4 linked regions of the Caenorhabditis elegans genome follow. The protein of the gene in region 2 purifies or fractionates together with the protein of the main gene of each other region. This does not show direct contact. Each region holds a gene or a part of one and is shown on either strand. Other genes may lie near its edges.

Region 1 (4,463 bases), about 13 Mb from region 2:
TTTGAGAAAATATCGATTTCTCGCAAGCTTCCACGTGGCAAAAGTCAGTTTTCGAAAATACGAAGAAAATTGTTCGCTTGCTAGACAAAAATAAGAAAAAATGGAGAAAAGGTGTTGAAGAAGAAATAGTGAGAGGGGCCAGAGAACGAGACAAAAGTGCACGAGAAACAGAGAAATGTGTTCATATTGTTTATGTGGGTTTGGATGCGGAGGGAAAGTTGTTAATAAAACATGTTTTTTAATTGATTTGTTATATAAACACAAAATTCTGAGAATGCGTAGTGCACAACATATTTGACGCGCAAAATATCTCGTAGCGAAAACTACAGTAATTCTTTAAATGGCTACTGTAGCGCTTGTGTCGATTTACGAGCGATATTCCATTTTCACTAGTTTCTTTGCAATATTTTCTCATTTTTAAGCTTCTCTATCGATAAGATAGAACAACCCGTAAATCGACACAGGCGCTACAGTAGTCATTTAAAGAGTTACTGTAGTTTTCGCTACGAGATATTTTGCACGTCAAACATGTTGCGCAGTACGTATTCTTAGAATTTTGTGTTTCCGTAATATATTCGTACCTTCAAATACTGCTAATTTTCTGTGCTGGAGAAGTTATTATAACATTGTGTTATTAACCAGAAGCTAAATTTTGCGCCAAAATACGGTACCAGGTCTCGACGCGACAAATTCTGGTTTGATCGAAAAAGCTGTGCGCCTTTAAATAGTACTGTAGTTTGAAATTTCTCTGAAAATCGATAAAAACTATAGTACTCTTTAAAGGCGCGCCCCTTTTTGCATTTAACAAAAATCTGTCGTGTCGAGACCATGTTTGGCGCTAAAATCGCAATATTTCGCCTCTAGATAATAATGAAATACAAAAATATAATTAATTGTTTATTAATTGCAACAATTTATTCTAAGAACCACAGGTAATAAAAACAATTAAATTTCTTCAGGAATCGGTTTCAGCTTAATCTCCTCCTCAGCCGTCTGCCGATTCGCCACTTTCGGAAGATCTCTACAAATAATCGATATTCTTCGCTCCCTGGGCACTTGTTCTCCGTTCCACACACTTTCCTGCTCGCCGAGCACCTCATGTGTGAAATCGTATCGTCCGGGACCGCTGAAATTTTCGAATTTTTTAGATTTTTTAAAAATGTGGTGAGCAAGTTCGCTCTATGGCTAAACTCACCCTAATCGATATAAACTTCTTCTAGGCATCAGAAGATCCATAATCAGTTCATCCTTCTGATCCTTGTGCCGGAGCCGCATAATAGCGTCGGAGAGCAGGGAGACACCCGTGATGACGTCACCACAATACTGAAAATTTCGGATTTTTTTTGAATATTTTTGAGTTATAAGTTTTAAATGCGCTCTAATGATAATAATTGCCGAACTAGGCCATGTTGGCTCGACCATATCTGGGGTAGATTTACGGCGCGTTGCGTGTCGCGTCGCGGCTCGATTTTAGTTGTAAAACTAAATGTATTTGTCCGTGTGGAGTACACGACTTTCCCACGCGTTGTCCGGCGGGGGATTGTCAATAGAGCGCGAAAAATTCGATGAGGAAGCCCAGAACCCTGGTCAACTTGCACGCACTCGAATCGCGTCAATGTGTGGTTTGATGACACCGTCCTTGTGTAGATCCAAAATATGCACGTAGGTCAAATGTTCGGTGTTGGCGCCGAACGATTCACTCCGGATGCGGGAGATCACTTCGAGATTCTCGTCTCGCCATTTTCGTTGCTCACGTTCTCGGTATAGGTGGATGGCCTAGAAAATATGGGAGACTTTTAGGCCACGGGAAGCTTGCTGGTGGCCTAGAAATTCGAAATAGGTATTTCTAGGCCATGAATTCATCTGAAACCTAGAACACGATTTCTAGGCCACTTATTCTATACTGATGACCTATAAATCCAAAATTTCAATTTCTAGGCCATCGACAATTTACTGATGGCCTAGAATATTATTTCTAGGCCACCAATTCTATATTGATGACCTAGAAATCCAAAATTTTAATTTCTAGGTCATCGACAATATATTGATGGCCTAGAATAATATTTCTAAGCCACCAGTAATGTTTTATTGACTGAGAACTCTAAATTTCAAATTTTATGTCAAATTTTGGATTAAAACATATTTTATCCGAGATTTTCAATAAATTTTTTTTCACAAAACTATCATTTTTTGAATTTTGTAAATTTTAAATCTGTTTTCCTCATAAAAATGATCAAAAACTCCTACATCGTCCCAATGGCTCTTCTCGTACCGAAGACGCTTCATGTGTGGCTCAACGTCGACGAGAAGGCTTTTCTCTTCGGCTTCTGTGATGAAATCTCTGAAAATTTCGAAATTTTTAAGGTTGCAAGCGCGCTCCAATGCTAATAATCTTTTTTTAAACTTGCAAATACGCTCTACGGATAATTCCCCAGAGTTTCGCTGCTTCCAATTTAAATTCAAATTTTTTCAAGTTGCAATCGCGCTCCTTTGACGATTTCTCTGATTTCACCGATTTCACGTAAAATTTGAAAATTGTGGAGTATGCAAATCCGCTCTAATACCAATTTCGCTCAAAATTTCAAATTCTTGCCTACTTTTTAACATAACAGCAGGTTTTCATAGTTTCAGCCAAATCCTTCGGCCACAGTTCCAAATTATGAAATTTTATCAAATGTTGCAGAGTTCTCGGTGTAATTTTCATATTTTCTGTTCCACTGAAACATTTTTGTTGTAAATTTCCAATTTCTGAGAATATTCTAAAGCACGGCTTTCTACGGCTTTTAAACCATTTTCCTGTTGAACTATTTTCTTTAAAAATCACAATGATTTTATAGTCGAAAAGAAATAAAAAAACGCATTATGCTGAGGGCTTCGACATACAAAGTGGAAAGGGTTGGGGGAAATACATGGAAATTTCCTTTTTTTTTTCGGAAAAACAAATTTTTGTTAGTATTTACAATTACATTTTGTTACCAGTCAGACAAGTTTTTTGAGGGAAAAAAATCCAATAAAAATGAGCATTTTTCAGAAGGACGTATAATGTACACGAAGTGTGTGTGTGAAAAGGAGACAACAAAAGGGAAAAATTGCGGGTTAAAAATGGCCGGGAAAACCAAAAAAAAACATTTTTTAAAAAAATAAATTCAGACGGAGCACTTATTGCTTTTTCTTCGGCGCCTCAATCGCCTCGGCGAGCTTCTTCATGTCGTTGAGCGAGCGCTTGAGCTCTTCACGGAATTCACGGGAGCTCTGGAAGAAAATTGGATGAAATAGATAAATTTTGTGGTTTTTCGGCAAAAATTGCTCAAATTTTTTCGAATTTTGAAGATAAGTTTAAAAAAAAATTTTTTTCCACAATATGAATATTGTTTACAATAAGAAATCTGGTTTTTTCAAACGAAAAATCTTTTGTTCGTTCCAGAAAATTTGGGTTTTTTTCAAAAAATCTGGTTTTTTTTAATCTGGGGATTTTTTCCAGAAAATCTGAGTCTTTCCCAAAAATTGGTTTTTTTCCAACAAATCTGGGTTTTTTCAACAAAAAATCTCGGGTTTTTCCAAAAAATCTGCTTTTTTTAAACAAAAAATTCGGTTTTTTTCCAAAAAATCTGGGTTTTTTTCTGAAAAAAATCTGGCTTTTCCAAAAAAATCGGGTTTTTTTTAAACAAAAAATTGGTATTTTTTTCCAAAAAATCTGCTTTTTTTAAACAAAAAATTCGGTTTTTTTCCAAAAAATCTGGGTTTTTTTCTGAAAAAATTCTGGCTTTTCCAAAAAAATCGGGTTTTTTTTAAACAAAAAATTGGTATTTTTTTCCAAAAAATCTGGGTTTTTTTAGACAAAAAATAGATTTTTTTTTCCAGAAAATCTGGGTTTTTTTCCAAAAAATCGGGGGTTTTTCAGAGAAAAATACTGTAACTGTAAAACAAAAATTACCGTATTATCGGCAGATCTCTTGCTAGAGATATGGAAAGACAGAGTATCTTCCCCTGCAACAATATAAGAGACACCGTAACCCCGATCAGCCACCGGACCGAATCCACCTCCGGCAGTGATCAATCTCAAGCGAACTTCGTTGGAAAGTCCCTTGGCATCAGCTTCGCACTGATTCATCGGAGTCTGGGAAGTTGAGAGCAAGTATGTCGGTGGGAAGATATTATCGAAAAACGGGGATTCCTCTTCCAAATATCTCTTGATAACGTAGAGAGCGAAGAGATGACGATCGACTCCTTGTCCACACATCGCGTCTCGGTACAGCTCCTGATGCTTGTCGCATGCTTTACGGAGGAGTTGGAGGCGATCTTGAGGCGTCTTCGAGGCGTCGAGCATTGAACGAACGAAATCCGAGGATTGGACAGTGCAGGAACGGACAGTTTCGGTACGTCCTTCACGGAAGAGACGGGTCATTGAGGCTTCGTAGGTCAGCGAGAATTTATTTTGATTCTGCAAAAAAATTGAGTTATTT
Region 2 (5,066 bases):
GGAATACGGTATTTATTGCATGTTTCAGCCGAGAATACCGATATTCCAGCCATCAATTAGGATAGAAGCACATAAGCCACAGAAATTCATTTTTAGAGACTACGGAAGCTACAGTAATCTTTATGGGAGTTATATGGCATTTTCAGAGCAATTTTCGGCGTTTTTTTGTTAAACGAAAACTTAAAAATTTTGGAAAAAAACGGTGAAAATTGCAATTTTTTATCATTTTCTCAGAAAAATTCAAAATTTGGGCATAGCTTCCGCATCTCCGGTGACAAATGTGCTCTATTGCACAAAGTGTTGGTTGGAATACGGTATTTATTGCATGTTTCAGCCGAGAATACCGATATTCCAGCCATCAATTAGGATAGCCACACAAGCCACAGAAATTCATTTTTAATGGCTTCCGAAGCTACAGTAACCCTTGCTTAATGGAAACTCTGGCAAACTCAGAATTTGCTGAAAATTTTGCTCAAAACTTTGGAAAAATAAATTTTTCTAAACATATCTACTTGAACTTCTAAGCGTGAAATTAATTTTCCCATATTAACGCTTCTAGTTTTTTGTCACTTTTTTTTTCTGAAACCCCATGCTTTCCACTACCTTAGAGCTCTCCTCAGTCCTTGGATCCAGTGTTACCAGGAGACGTGCGGTCTGTTGTATACTTCCAATGAAAAATCCATAATTCAACACATTCTTGCCAGTTGAAGCAAGTGTTGGCACTCCGGGCGTTGTTGAGCTTTCCGAGACAACTAGGCGTCTGAAATTAGGAAATTTAGGAAATTTAGCAACATTTATTTAATTCATACGTTACATTAAAATTGTAAATTTCAAAAGAGTTTAGAAATGAACTAAATTTTCTTATTTTTCTCCAATTTTCACTGAATTTCTACTATTTTTCGCTGGAAATTATTTTATTACCTCAACAAATCAGCTGCAATCTGTCGTGTCATCATACAATCGTCATCTCCAATAGTAAGAACATTAAAAGTACACATAAATGTATCATGGACATTCTCAGTACAGTACACCATATCTCGAACTTTCTCGTCCAAATATCCAATTAGTACCAGGCTTGAGACGACTGCAAATACTTTTTTTTTCGATTTGTTAAAAATTGTTATTTTTTGAATTTCAATTTTTTCCGAGTTTTTAAAAAATAAAACAATTTTTTGTTTTTTGAAATTTTTTTTTTTCGAATTCTTCAAAAATAAAACAGTTTTTCGATGTTTTTTCTTTTGCGAATTTCATGAAAATAAAACAAGTTTTCGGTTTTTTTTTTAGAATAATTTTTTTTCGAATTTTTTGAAAATTCAATTTTTCGATTTTTTTTCTAAAAATACAATATTTTGCGAATTTTTTAAAAATAAAATTATTTTTTCGACTTTTTCGAAAACTAATTGTTTTTCAGTTTTTTGGAACTACTGAAAAATGAAAAAAAATTAATTTTTAAAAATATTCCGTAAATCAAAAAATTCTTAAATATCAATAATCCAAAAATCAATTTCGGTGGTCCTAATTTCAAAAAAAAAATTTTATTGGAATTCCAACTATGTCATTAATTCAAATTTTCATGTTTTCACTAAAAATTCTGAAAACTCGATTATTCCAAAAATTACCGATTATCCTCGCGTTGTGCTGTAGTAATTTCATCAATTGCCTGCTAAACTTCTTGTATGACGTAGATATTTTTATTCGTTTACACGCAGATTTCGATGCAGAAGCCAAATTGCACAGTATTGCAATACAGTATGGCATCCATTCTGGTTCGGGTTCTCGTATTCTGAAAAATGTTTGAAAAATTAGAAAAATTGATCTAATTTGCGAGCAAAAAAAATTTTAGCCCGAATTTTAAAATTATCGTAAAATTTTTGTTCCTATAATTTAAAGAAAAAATCTTTTAAAAATCCCACAAAATTCTATAATTGAATTTCTGTGAATTTGCGTACTTTTGAAGCCACAGTAACCGGAATTTCGGTTTTTGTTGATTTCCTTGCTGGAAATTAGCTTCTGAACTACAGTAACCAGAAAATTGCAAATTTGTCGAAAAAAAATGTTAGAAACTTGCTTTTTGTAGATTTTTTAAATAAAAATTTCTACCAGTCGCAGAATATGCAAAATATATCAATTTTTGCAATTTTCGCCCTCAAACTCACACTTCTTGCATTAAAAACGATATAAGCTCGTTTGCCCAATGTTCCAATGGCACATTCTTTTCATAACTTAAAACTTGTAATAATCTGAGAATATCAATCATATTTTGTGGTCCTAATTGTTCTCGAAGTGATGCTTTTAGACATGAAAATACTGCTCCAAGAAGTCGAAGCTCTCCGGCCATAAATCGACGAATCGGTATATTATGATGGGCAATTGAGAAGAGAAGTCGGTAGAATTTCGAGCGTGTTACAATGTTTGTTGTGGAGGCATCTGGAAATTGCGCGTCAAATATGGTGTATTGGGTACGCAATGGGAAAATTAGTGATTTTTACAGAAATTTGAAAAAAAAATTGAATTTTCGGCTTTGAAAACTGAAAAATTAGAACATTTTCGTGAATTATTGAGGTCCGGTGATCACCGCGGTGAGTCAAAAACAAAATTTATTTTTCGAAAAACGATTTTTTTAAAAATAGAATTTCCATAATTTTTGGGTCAGGTCCAAAAACTCACTTAAAATCACTGGGGTATACGTCAAAAACTCTTTCAATTGCTGATTTTTCAGCGATAACCGTGTGGCTCGATCCATGTCTGCCACGTAGCGGATCATTCCGTTAAGCGCTTCATCGAGGCGAGTTGTGTTGTCAGCACTGCTATCCGATACATATCTGGCAGCGGAAGTAGTCGCCAACGAGAAAATTGCGTCAGTCTGGAAATTCTAGCGTTAGAGCAGGGTTGCATAGCACTGAAAATTCAAAAAATTGGATTTTTCCACAGAGCGCGCTTCCTCGTAAACGGAAATTTGAATTTTTCAAAGTTTTATTGCTCGCGCGCTTGCTTACAAATCCATTTTATTAGAGCACGTTGGCATTGTTTTCGCATATTTTCTCAGTGGGGCGCACTTGCTCACTGCCCCCTTATATACCTCATTGATATTCGGCGGTGGTGGATCTCTTGCAAATCTCTGTGACGCTCGAAAACTGCTCCTTTCCATAGTTTTCCATCAAAAAAAATCGCTTCCTAGGTTATTAATTGAGTAGAATAGGTGAGTAGGTATGAGGAAATTGCTGAAAAAGTACCTTATACACCAGATTTTTCGCGCTAATGTAAGGTCTATTAAAAGTACAAGGGAACAGTAGTAACTGCGCTAATTAAGCGTTCTAGACATAAGTGGATCAACAAGAACGGATTCGGAGGGTTTGAGCAAATACCAAAAGGACATTGATATCTTTGCTAGGGATTTACGCTTATAAATAGCAAAAATCTTGAGATTTTCCTAAAAATTTGGGCATAGCTTCCGCATTTTCGGTGACAAATGTGCTCTATTGCACCGAATTGTTGGTTGGAATACGGTATTTATTGCATGTTTCAGCCGAGAATACCGGTATTCATACCATCAATTTGGATAGAAGCACACAAGCCACAAAAAATGATTTTTAGTGGCCCCGGTAGCTACAGTAATCCTTGTCTAAATTGGAAACTAGGGAAAATCAGGATTTGGAACCTTTTTGCTGGGAAAACTGCTCAAAACTATGAAAAACTAAGCTTCATTCTATTGGATTTTCAGTCATGAATACCAAAGTTCATATCATCGAACTGAATAAAATCACACAAGTAAAAATATTTAAATTCCACTGTAGCGTTCAAACTAGAGCTAAATCTTAGAATTTCTGTATGTCTAGGATTTATCTAAAATTCCAAAACCGAATTTGAATATCTACGAGATGACTAGCAAATCGGAGATTTGCTAGGCTTCGCAGTTTGGTTCGGCGTAGAGTAACTCAAGAATTTAGTTTAATGATAATTTTATAAATAACAGTTTCCACTTTTCAAATCGCACTTAACGGTTCCCCACTGTTTCTACATGTATTCGGGCAAAAATAGGCTTGACGGATCTCCAACACTTCTTCGTGTATTCGGACATGCGGCCCTCAACTCGGGTTTATTGGGCTCAGAATAGGCTTAATGGCTGTTCAATACTTTTGTGTATTCGGGCCTGCGGCCCTCAATCCGGATTACCTGACCTTTCCAAAAACAGACGTAGTTATGGAAACATACGTCTCATAGAAGGCCTCCAGCCTGCTCTGCTGGGAGTAGGGATAGAAAAGGTCTAAAGTTTCTAAGAGTAAGAGGGAGGTCTTCATCCCTGATTTTTGGGTTTGAGTGAAAAACAATAGCATTGCAGGCCTCCAGCCTGCCCTGCTGGAAGTGAGGTTTAAAGTGACCAAAATGTCCGAGAAGTGCGGTCCTCAATAGGATTAGAGAAAAAGTAAAAATCTCGAAAAATCTTTAAAATTGAACTTCCTCACGTTATTAAAATAAGAAATTAAAATTATCGAATTCATCCCCAAAAATAAAGAAAGAGAGAGTGGTAGAAAAGTTTTTCACGTTTAATCCATTCTTTTAATTTTGCAAAATTTGAATGATGGCCTACATTTTGGAAAGTTGGTCAATTTTTTTCCAAATAGTTTCAAAAAATTGGTAATTCGAAGTTCTATCTTGTGCACAAATTGGAACCAAATGCCAGAAAAACTGAAGATTTGGGACTGAAAAACATAAAACTCTTCAGTACAAAGAAAATATTCAATTTTCGCGGTCTCCAGAAACCTGCGCAAATCAGTGTTCTACCCTTCCCAAAACCAATCCTCTCAATAATGACCATGGTGGGGCAACTATTTTTGAGTCATTCGCACTTAGTGAATGCAAAAGCGCCAGCTATGAGCCAAGTTATTAAAGCTCAAAGTTTGTACATTTTTATCGGACACCCCATTACGACAACGTGCCCTTATTTTTTATTTCTGTCAAGAATGCAATTTCAGGATTTAATATAGGAAGAGGCAGAGAAGTTGAGTTAAATGGGAAGGAATAAAGGGGATTACTCAAGGACGCCTCCATCATCTTCTTCAGTTCAA
Region 3 (4,605 bases), on a different chromosome or scaffold from region 2:
AGTGTGCAATGCGTATTCTCAGAGTTTTGTGTTCCCATAATAATGAATCCTAAAATAGCTTAATTCCAAAAGTCAATCCTTAAAGTGCATTCCCAGTTGTACTCGATATGAATCGTATACTAGAAAATATTTTTTTTGTTCAATTCCAATATCTAAAAGTGCAACTAATAAAAAAACAGTTGCTTGTTTTTTGCCGACTTCCGTATCACCCGTCTGACTGGCACGGAGCAAAAGTTCCAAATGACTATAAATCTGGAAACGTATATGTGTGTGTGTGCTTGTGTTTGCACTTTCTTCTTCTCAGACGCAGATAGTTTCTAGAAGGACCACCCGGCACGGCGAGCACTCCCGGGTTTTTTATGGGCGACGAGAGAGTATTGTGGGAGATGAGAAGGTGCTCGCGGAACCATTACATTAAATGAGATTGAGCACACGGCGAGGAGCCAACAAAAAACACACACACACACATACAAACGCCCCGAGAGGACGCTTGAGACATTCTTCCTTGCAAAAGGGCAAAAACACAAATCGTGGTAATGACTATACGAATCAGAAACACAGAAAAAAACGAAGAAGCAATTTTATTTGAAAGCTAAAAAGAGGAGTCCAAATTCTTTAAATTCTACATTCCAAGTCCTCCAGTAACTTCCAACGTGGTTCCAGTGACATATGAAGACATATCCGATGCCAGGAACAACACGGCGTTCGCGATCTCCTCAGTCTCACCGAGTCTCCGTTGTGGAACCATCGAGACCATTGCATCAAGGACCTTCGGAGGCATAGCCTCTGTCATTGGTGTTCTGATGAAGCCGGGGAGCACAGCATTCACGCGGATGTTCTGGAAAATGTTGAATTTTAGATTATTTAGAATTTTATAATATTTTACTGGGCAACTGTCCGATTGGATCTTCGTTGGTGCCGAACCGATTTAAACACCAGAAACCGATCATTGTTTTGTTTCCCAGTTTATTTTTCAAAAAGTTTCCCATGAGGAATAGTGAATTGAACATCAAAATGTTATGTCCAGTATGATAATTCAATTAAAATTCTTCTATTTAAAACGTTAATGTCCTTCATAAAGTTCATACTGTATCATCCGCAATGAACTTCGTCAACCCCCTGTTGGTAAGGATTAAGACATCTTTTATATTACTCGCAATGATATTTTCAGCTCAATACCTTCATCATGGGAATGCTTGCAACTACCTCGGCAAGCCTCGGTGACGAGTCGTGTTTTTTTTTCAAATTCATGTTTGTAGAACCGTCCGATTTTTTGGACCCTATAGCCAAAAGCTTAAGAACCATCTACAAAAGGGACCTCAACAAGTACACGCGCTGCGAAAATCGACAATGACAGTCTTATTACGGGAAAACAATACTCTGAGAATGCGTATTGCGCAACATATTTGACGCGCAAAATATCTCGTAGCGAAAACTACAGAAATTCTTCAAATGACTACTGTAGCGCTTGTGTCGATTTACGAGCTCGATATTTGAAATGAATAATTAAAATAATTTAGGATCATGGAACATCGCTGAGCCCGTAAATCGACATCAGCGCTACAGTAGTCATTAGAAGAGTTGCTGTAGTTTCCGCTACGAGATATTTTGCTCGTCAAACATGTCGTCTTGTGCCCCAGATTTTTTTTTGCAAATTGAGAAAAACAATTAAAAAATGGGTGGTTAGAACAATCTGAAAATCAATTTTTAATTGATTTTACCTTTGTGGCAAGCTCCCTGGCTGCCGATTTCGTAAAACCAATCACTCCAGATTTAGTGGCAGCGTAGTTAGTTTGGCCGAAATTTCCGATTTTTCCGACGATCGACGACACGTTTACAATGGAGAGCGGAGATCCGGCGGCCACAGATTCACGAGCAATCATCTGAGACATCAGAAAAACACTATTCAAATTGACATTCATCACATCCTGCCACTGATTCTGGCTCATTTTCAACAGGGTAGCGTCCTAAAATGTAAAAAGGTCAATTTTGCAGTGTTCTAAGATATAAAAGAGACACGGTAATTTATTTGAAACGTCAGTTTAAAGGTGCACGCCATTTCTTTGGGTCTCGCCACGATCTCAGCCATATTTGATTTTGTATATTTATAAAAACTAACTTTTAATTATTTTCCTGGCGAGACCCATCTGGAAAAACTCGTGCGCCTTTAGGCAAGAGTCCCAGAAAACTACGAAATTCCGATATTCTATTAACCTTGGTGATGCCTGCACAATTCACGAGCACAGATGGCGATTCTCCGGAAGATTTTATGAATTCTTGTAGACGAGCCACGTGTTCTGGCTGAAAACAATTTTTAAACAATTCAATTCTTGAATTTTCTCTTTCTCACATCGCTGACATCAATCTCAAAGGCCGAATGCCCATTTCCAGGAAGATTGCCTGCTGTGGCTTCTGCTGCCGATTTTTTGAGGTCTGCAACGATGAGACGGGCTCCAGAAGCTGCGAATTTCTTGCAAATTGCTTGTCCGATTCCTGATCCACCGCCTGGGATTTTTTGTAGAGTTTGCTAGTTTTTTAAATTAAAATTAGTTAAAATTACCAGTGACAATTGCCAATTTCGATGAAAGCATTGTAGATTTACCTAAAAAATGCTGAGAAGAATTTATTTTTGAAAATTTTTATTAAAAATTAAAAAATCCAAAAAATTTAGAACGAGAGACTGTGTGAGACGAAGAGACGTAGACATTCCCGGGTGGTACGGTATGCAATGTGTGCAAACACCGTCGTGTACGCAGAGAGCGCCACTTTTGAATTCGAAAGCGTTCTCCTCGATTTCGCGCATTTTCATCATTATTCTCTGGTTTTTGTCGATTTTTATTATAAAAATATCGTTCCTTCAGCTTCTCACAATGAATACTCGCAAATCTGAAACGTCAAAGACTGTATCCGCCACTCCAGTCAAGCGGAGATCGACAAGAATCACTAATCTCCCGAAATCAGCTCCTAAAATCGTAAAGCGAAGCTCCGTTCGCCTCAGAGGAGCTCCACAATGCACATATAAATCGGATTCTTCTTCGTCCTCATCATCTTCAGATTCTGATGGAGAAGATGAGTACGCCGCGACAAAAGACGAGCTGAAAGCCGTAGATCACGATAATCAAATGGAAATCGATTTTTCCGATGAAATCGGCGAGAATTTCTCAGAAGAAGATAGCTGCAGTGATAAAGAAAATAGAAGAGTTACAAGAAGCAGGACTCCGACAAGGCTTGAAGAGACTCCATCGAAGAGGCTTGCTCGGGAATTAAGTAAAGCTTCAGTGTCGAAAGTTTCCACTTCAAAAACTCTATTCAAAGAGAGTAAATCACCTCGAAAAGTTGAGATTTCAAGGAAAACAAATAAAGCTCGAGTATTTCAAGAAGAAGATGATGACGATGAAGATGATTTCAGCGATGAAATTGACGAGAAATTCTATTCGAAAACTAACAAAAGAACACCAATCACAATAAAGATCCCTTCAAAAATGATAACCCAGAAAGTAACTCCACTAGTGATCAGCAAAACGCCAGGTGGAACACTGAGAACCCGTAGAAGGGCACGCCAGAACAGTGAAGAACTCGAAGATCTTGTGGATCCACTGGATTCCCGATCGGCTTCAACTCTGAAAGAGCTGGCGAGCAGGCTTCATCTCTCAAAGGTGCCCGAGAAGCTCCCATGCCGAGATATTGAGTCTCGAGAAATTGAGAAATTCATTCGAGAAGTTATTGATCCAAAACGTGGCGAGAGCTCTGCAATGTATATTAGTGGAGTTCCAGGCACAGGGAAGACAGCCACTGTTCGAGCGGTAAAACTTAATTTTTAAATTATTTTTCCAAATTTCTGGTTTTCAAATTCTATTTTTCAGGTCGTCAACTCGATGAAAAAGAGCAAAAAGTGTCAGAAATTCGTGTACGTCGAGGTCAATGCGATGATCTTCAAAAAAACTGTATTCGTAGAGATTTACAACGGGTAAGGACGTCTCGGAAAAGTTGAAAATCGAACAATTTCCATCTAACAACTGCAGAACTCATTGGAAAATGCTCAAAATTTTGCGCGGAATCCTCCGAAATTCGAATTTTTCGAAAATTGTTGGCTAATTTCTGAGTTTTTTCATAAGTTAACGGGGAATTTTTTGTTTTAAAGCTTGGAAATGGATCAATTTGAGCATTTTTAGACAGTTTTCAGCTTAATCGCAAGTTTTTAAAGAAAATATTATGCTGAAAACTGTCAAAAAACTGCTTAAAAAGACGTATTTTCCTTGCTTTAAAAAAATTTCGACTTAAAATTATAAAAAAACGCAAAAAAGTAACTTTAAAATGTCGATAAAAAAACGAATTTCAGTGGGTTCTGCTAGTTTTTACTTTATGAAAATGATCTAAAGTAGTGAATTTCGTGAAACCTTGAACATTTTCCCGATAGGATGTTAGAAAAACCTCAAAAATCTGAAAATTTTGGGGTTTTTCTCTTCAAAACCCTAAAAAATCGGTTTTTTTGTAAAATAATCGTTTTTGTACGCAAAAATACTGAAATTTTCAATATTTTTCAGCATCCAAGAAGAGTACAACATCTCGAAAAAGCCTCAAAGAGCAAAAATCACAGCTACCGCT
Region 4 (5,458 bases), on a different chromosome or scaffold from region 2:
ATAAACCTATATTTCTTGTTTTATTTAGAGAACTACACTGAACTAAGACATCAAAAAACAATCTTGATAAGTTTAAACGAGATCCTTCGTTTTCTGCTTTAAAATATTCAAAAAAAAGTTACCTGACTATGAGTTTTATTTTTGATTATTCTTCTTTCTACAATTTAACAAAACAATTTCTGAAAATACGTTTAACATTTTTTCAATGTAGTTACGCGGCTCATTTAATAACTTTTTCATCAGCGTCCATTTTTCAAATGAATTTTTTTCTAGAAAAAAAAATTACAGTTGTTGTGCCGTAATAATTTTTTCTTGAGCAAAGAATAGCCCAACAACTGTTTCAGTTGCATATTTCGAGCTAGAAAAGTCCACCGCAGTTTAGTTTTGAAGCCTTCGATTATCGTATTTTAGCGTTTTGTAGCATATTCCACATAAAGCACGAAACTAAACTGGAACATTTGTGAAATCATCAATCAAGTCATTTTTGGGTACACATCATGTCTGCGGAGACATTGAGCGAATTCAAATAGACCAAGTCATCATTCCGATTCATTTGTGAAAATTCGTTTTCTGCTAGAACTGTGATCACTCTATTTTTAAATTCTATTCGCATCAAATTTCAATCACAAATATACTTTGTTGCTTGCTGCATTTAACACATTTTTATGGGGTGAACAGGACACTATCAGAAATCAACAAGTATCTAGTATGGTCGAAGACTTTGTTTCGGTGCAGTTTTCTGAACATATTTCTTTTAGGAGGGAAAATGAATATAAAAGATATTGATATCACATAGGCATCAATAATCAATGCTATGAGAAGACACGTTTAAAGTAGGGGGCCGGCAATTTGTCTGGGTGGAAAACCAACACAGAAGAAAAGGACAGAAGAGATGAAAGGTCGTTTAATATACATTACATATCATTGTGAAAAACAAAAGAACTACAAATACTTTTTCTTATTTATTACAACCTGAATTAGAATGTGAATTGAAGGGCGGTTCGAATGGGCAAGAAAACAAACGTCAAAACACACATATTAACGCGGACAACAATATGCAAAAAACTCGTTATGTTCACAAGTATGACTGCTTGGACAGAATCTATCGGAACATGATTTTCCGAGCATTGCACTCGACCAATCGTCCTGTTTCGTTTGCAAAGCTTCTTTCTTGTTTTTGCATAATGGTTTGAATGCTGCTTGGTAGCGATCTGGAAACTTTGTGTTTTGGTTGTCGCTAATATGATTACTTACTTGTCAAGTTCTCCTCGCAGCAAATACCAAAGAATGCTCCCATAGAACAAATATATCCCTTTGGACAACCATCAGAGGTTAGTTTTGGGCCTGGAGTTGTAGTAGTCTTGAAGCCTGAAAAATATGAAGCAATATTTCAGTTAGTTTTTTTAATGTTCATTATTACTTTAATAAAGTTTTAAACTAACTAATACTCGTTTTTAAAACATTGTATTTCTAACGTTTAAACAGCTCAGATCCGAAAAACAGGATCCTTTAAATGAAATAAAAAATAACATTTTATAAACCGGAATTGTAAGTTTCGTTTTTCACCACAAAAATTTGTAGCTAATTTTCAAATATTATTTATGCAGTAGAAAGTTCGAAAGTTTTATTAAAAAACCATCAATCTCAAAACATACCTGGTGGACCATCTGGGCCTTCTGGGCAAGAATACCATTGTCCATTCGACTTTCTAGCTGGTTGTGATTGCATTGCACAACTGAAGTAGTCTTCTGAAATAAAACTGCATTCAATTATCGTATTTGATTTTTGAGTTAAAAATTGAATTTTTGAGTTAAAAATTGAATACGTCAATGAGGGGCTCAGAGTTTTCAAACTTTTGGGTCAAAAATGTATGAAACATTTTACAATTTTTGGTACCATAGGCCTACTTGTGATCATTTTCCTTGGTGAACGTCACTTATATTCATGAAAACAATACGTGGATAACTTACGCAAGACACAGTCAAAATAGCATTCACTACTTGTTCTATAGGAGTTCTGATTTCCACCACAGCCTTTGTGTTCGAATGGGAAACATTGGAAGGTTTCAACGTCAAACCAGTACTAAAAAAAATATTTGCCCGATTTTTTATTAGGTTTAAAATCAACTTACTCTTATCGAAGTTTTATTTTGATTGCATGTATGTCCAGCATTTCTGTTACTTGCACACCATGGTTTTCCAATCGGTTGATCATTTTTCGGTTTGGCAGGATCTGGTTTTTCAAAAGCGGGGAATGCTGACGAATCGATGGAGAAATCTGAAATTATCGAATTATTTTAAATTATTCATGATTTTGAACTACCAATTTGCATGCAATTCATCTTTGTTGTGTTACTCAATGGTTTTCGTGTCCCTTGTATTTCTCTTCCAGTATTTGTGTCCACGCAGTAGCATTGGTTCTTCTTACTGTCACATTGTACAGGCTCAAAATCACCTTAAATACTTATATTTTATCTTTAGCATTATTTTTTCATACCTTTTCCGACGTCACATTTTGGTACGAAACTATTTTCTGGAGGATCTCCGTCGGCAAACAGCTTTTGGAGGTAAACAAGGCAAGCTGAAACGATAAACGTCACTTTTGGGAAAACTTAGGAAATTGAATGGTCTCTACTTACTTCCACATTTTGGCGCGGTTTTCGGATTGTTGGTTCGTGTGTCGTATGCAACAAGTGCAGTGTGAGGAGTAACACAATAACATGATTCAGAGTTACATTGTACAGTTTCATAGTATCCTAAAATTATGAATAAATTAATATAATTTAAAGTTTAGAATCACCATTTTCATTGCATTTTAGTCCATCATCATTCAACGTGCATGGTCCAGTTTTTGGGTTTCTGTAATAAAATATTACATTTTTATAATAAATTTGAAATAAGCAAAGTAATGTTGAAAAATTAAAATTTCCACCAGTTGCTTCAACACTTTATTAATATAAAATTCTTAAACAAAACTGTTATTTTTTTAATAGTGGACACCGAACTGTTGAAAAATATTTTCACTTACTAGGGTTCTAATTATTTCAAAATTGGTTTTTCATAAATTGTGCCTAACAATTTTTGTTCCAAAGAACTAACCTGGCTCGTAATAATCTGTCTCCAAACAGAGCATTGACTTGGGTGAATCCAACAAGTAATATTATGCAGAAAGCTCGCATGCCGGAAATCAAAAAATTGCGTTCGAAGGAATGATTGAAACGAGGAAATGAATGAAGGTAAATAATAACTAGTTAGTGAAACAAACATTATTTGATTTTCGAGAACAAAAAATAGTAAGAGCTATGAGTTGATCATTGAGTGATCTATTGTATTTGGGAATTACTGGCTTTTGGTTATTTTCATCACTCGCCGATGAAATTTTATGTAAGTTATTTTTATGTACATAAATTCTGTGCATATGAAATAGGTGAATCAAAAAGTGTTCACAAATATTTGGAAACATTAACAAAAATATTTCAAATAAAGGAAAAATTCGAGAAAAAAATAATTTTCTTAGGATATGAAAGCCAAGTTATATTCTTTCTTCTCTCCGAAGATTCAAAAAATCAAGAAAGATTAAAAATTGAAACAGTATCTTTTTTCAAAAGAAAAAACTAAGCAGTATCAGTGCTAGTTGAGAACAAGAAAAGGAATCAATTGCTGAACGAATCTTTGTTCGACGAAAAACGAAAAAAAAGGTTTACTTCCTTTTTATCATATTATGTCAACTACTAGAATGCAATGATCAATCGATAAAACTGGTACATTCTCTTATTCTCTTTGGATTCGTTTTTACACCAATAAATTTGGTTTGACTAACAGAATTACCTTTAGTTGAAAAAACATTTATTCGGGAAAAGAAGTGAATCATCAGAAAATAACCCGTTTTTGTCGGAATATTTTTTTAAATAAATAAAGTTCAAACTAATAACTAGACATAAAATAAGAAAATAAAATGAAGAATAGTAGAGACACAGGCCAGAAAGTGATTGGAGAAGAGTTACACAGATCAGTATTACAGCAACAGACTTTACTTTGTTTCGAAGTGACCACGCATTCGTCTTTCTGAAAAAAAGAAAACATTGAGAAAAGATTAAAAGAATAGAAAAGTCTAGAAGTTTCTATGGAAATCACTGGAAGAAAACGTTACTCACGAGTTTTTAGAATAAGAAAACAACAAAACGTTCTAGAATGAATTTCTATCACTAAGAATCATAAATTATACTTTTGAGAAACAATACGGGAATCGAGCTTCAAGTATAACATATAGGAATGTATTTTTCTAATATTTTTTTCAAAGACCGGAACCATTGTTAAGTGTCAGACGATAGAAAAATACGCTGTTTTTAAATTTAAGTTTAAATAATCCTTATTGTGATTTTTATTCACTGTTGGTCATTTTTTGGCAAATTGACAATACATACATTTAGATAAAACCGGCATTGACCCCACTCATTTTCTACAAGCGAAAGTGTATTCCGTTATTTTTCCATAGTTACAGTATGTAGCATTGGGCTTTGTCCGCTACATATGGGTTTTGTCCGCTTCTAGTATTTGTTTTCTGTTAAAGTTGACATTGCTCTTTCAATGAGTATGGTTTTTATAATTAATTTCCAGAAAATCTACACCAGGGCTGCGCCACATTCAATCTTTTCGACAATTTTTTTTCTGATTTTCACTTTGCACATTTGTTCTTTCAATTTCAAACTCGTTTTGTTCGCTCACTTTGCAAAACGGCGTAAAGTCATCACATCCGTAAGTAGCTCCGCCAGTTGGCTCTGTCGTTCTGCAAAATGAAAATTCCAATAAACTTGCTGCCTTTTCTTTTTCTTCTTTCAACCCACTTTATGCAATATTCTGTCTGACAAAGACGTTGTTTGAACGGCCTTCCATCTCCCGAGAACCCTAAAGAATCACTCGTCACGCACACGAAATGCTCTTCTGCTCATTCAACGTACCTTTAAAACACTTCACAGTAGTATCTGCAGAAGGCGGCAAAATGAAAAAGAAAATGAAAAGACAGATAATGACAGGGTGCACGCTCATAATTGTTTCCGTTCACTTGGTTTAATACGGAGTTCAACTGAAATTTAACTTTTTAGGAGTGTCATTTCCACAGAGTTTGAGATGAAGAGTTGAATTTAAAAGGAATAAGTAAATATAGTTTTAGATCAAACAAAATAAGAACAAACACTAATTCCATTAGTGTGAAGGAATTGGTTCAAGTTTTGGTTAGTTGTTGGCAATTTGTTTGAACTGTATGGTTTTTATGATGCGGATATTTTGTAATTTGAAAACCTGCTTTATTCAGGTCTCTTCACTTTATAAATGTTTCTAATTTGAATTTTCAAAACCCCTTGCAATATCACATATAGAATTCATTTTGAGAATTTTGTCCGCCTATAATATTGACATGCTGTCAAAGTTTCCTAGGATACTAGTTTTTACTTTTTTTTTTT

What was found.
Region 1: the proteins of cip-2A (region 2) and alkb-7 fractionate together in Caenorhabditis elegans (co-fractionation; one large-scale study listed by BioGRID). This does not show direct contact.
Region 3: the proteins of cip-2A (region 2) and dhs-11 fractionate together in Caenorhabditis elegans (co-fractionation; one large-scale study listed by BioGRID). This does not show direct contact.
Region 4: the proteins of cip-2A (region 2) and B0222.5 fractionate together in Caenorhabditis elegans (co-fractionation; one large-scale study listed by BioGRID). This does not show direct contact.

What each region holds. Positions count from the first base shown.
Region 1 is NC_003280.10:12,785,437-12,789,899, forward strand, and holds alkb-7 (Alpha-ketoglutarate-dependent dioxygenase AlkB-like domain-containing protein), read right to left. Parts: upstream 2,718-4,463; 5' UTR 2,705-2,717; coding exon 2,598-2,704; intron 2,342-2,597; coding exon 2,248-2,341; intron 1,777-2,247; coding exon 1,603-1,776; intron 1,324-1,602; coding exon 1,196-1,323; intron 1,127-1,195; coding exon 946-1,126; 3' UTR 886-945; downstream 1-885. Other genes in the region: cpt-1 (carnitine O-palmitoyltransferase), read right to left, coding at 3,160-3,252, 3,935-4,441.
Region 2 is NC_003280.10:270,746-275,811, forward strand, and holds the start of cip-2A (CIP2A N-terminal domain-containing protein), read right to left. Parts: upstream 3,228-5,066; 5' UTR 3,149-3,227; coding exon 3,080-3,148; intron 2,864-3,079; coding exon 2,668-2,863; intron 2,428-2,667; coding exon 2,157-2,427; intron 1,784-2,156; coding exon 1,620-1,783; intron 1,085-1,619; coding exon 922-1,084; intron 761-921; coding exon 604-760; intron 1-603.
Region 3 is NC_003281.10:10,640,264-10,644,868, forward strand, and holds dhs-11 ((3R)-3-hydroxyacyl-CoA dehydrogenase), read right to left. Parts: upstream 2,603-4,605; 5' UTR 2,592-2,602; coding exon 2,561-2,591; intron 2,506-2,560; coding exon 2,351-2,505; intron 2,302-2,350; coding exon 2,215-2,301; intron 1,968-2,214; coding exon 1,722-1,967; intron 839-1,721; coding exon 623-838; 3' UTR 573-622; downstream 1-572. Other genes in the region: orc-1 (Origin recognition complex subunit 1), read left to right, coding at 2,871-3,803, 3,864-3,967, 4,545-4,605.
Region 4 is NC_003283.11:9,151,692-9,157,149, forward strand, and holds B0222.5 (BPTI/Kunitz inhibitor domain-containing protein), read right to left. Parts: upstream 3,182-5,458; 5' UTR 3,179-3,181; coding exon 3,099-3,178; intron 2,859-3,098; coding exon 2,800-2,858; intron 2,756-2,799; coding exon 2,639-2,755; intron 2,581-2,638; coding exon 2,497-2,580; intron 2,455-2,496; coding exon 2,323-2,454; intron 2,278-2,322; coding exon 2,132-2,277; intron 2,083-2,131; coding exon 1,971-2,082; intron 1,749-1,970; coding exon 1,656-1,748; intron 1,369-1,655; coding exon 1,255-1,368; intron 1,212-1,254; coding exon 1,039-1,211; 3' UTR 630-1,038; downstream 1-629. Other genes in the region: B0222.15 (Activin_recp domain-containing protein), read right to left, coding at 3,924-4,064, 4,725-4,785, 4,844-4,904, 4,958-5,045.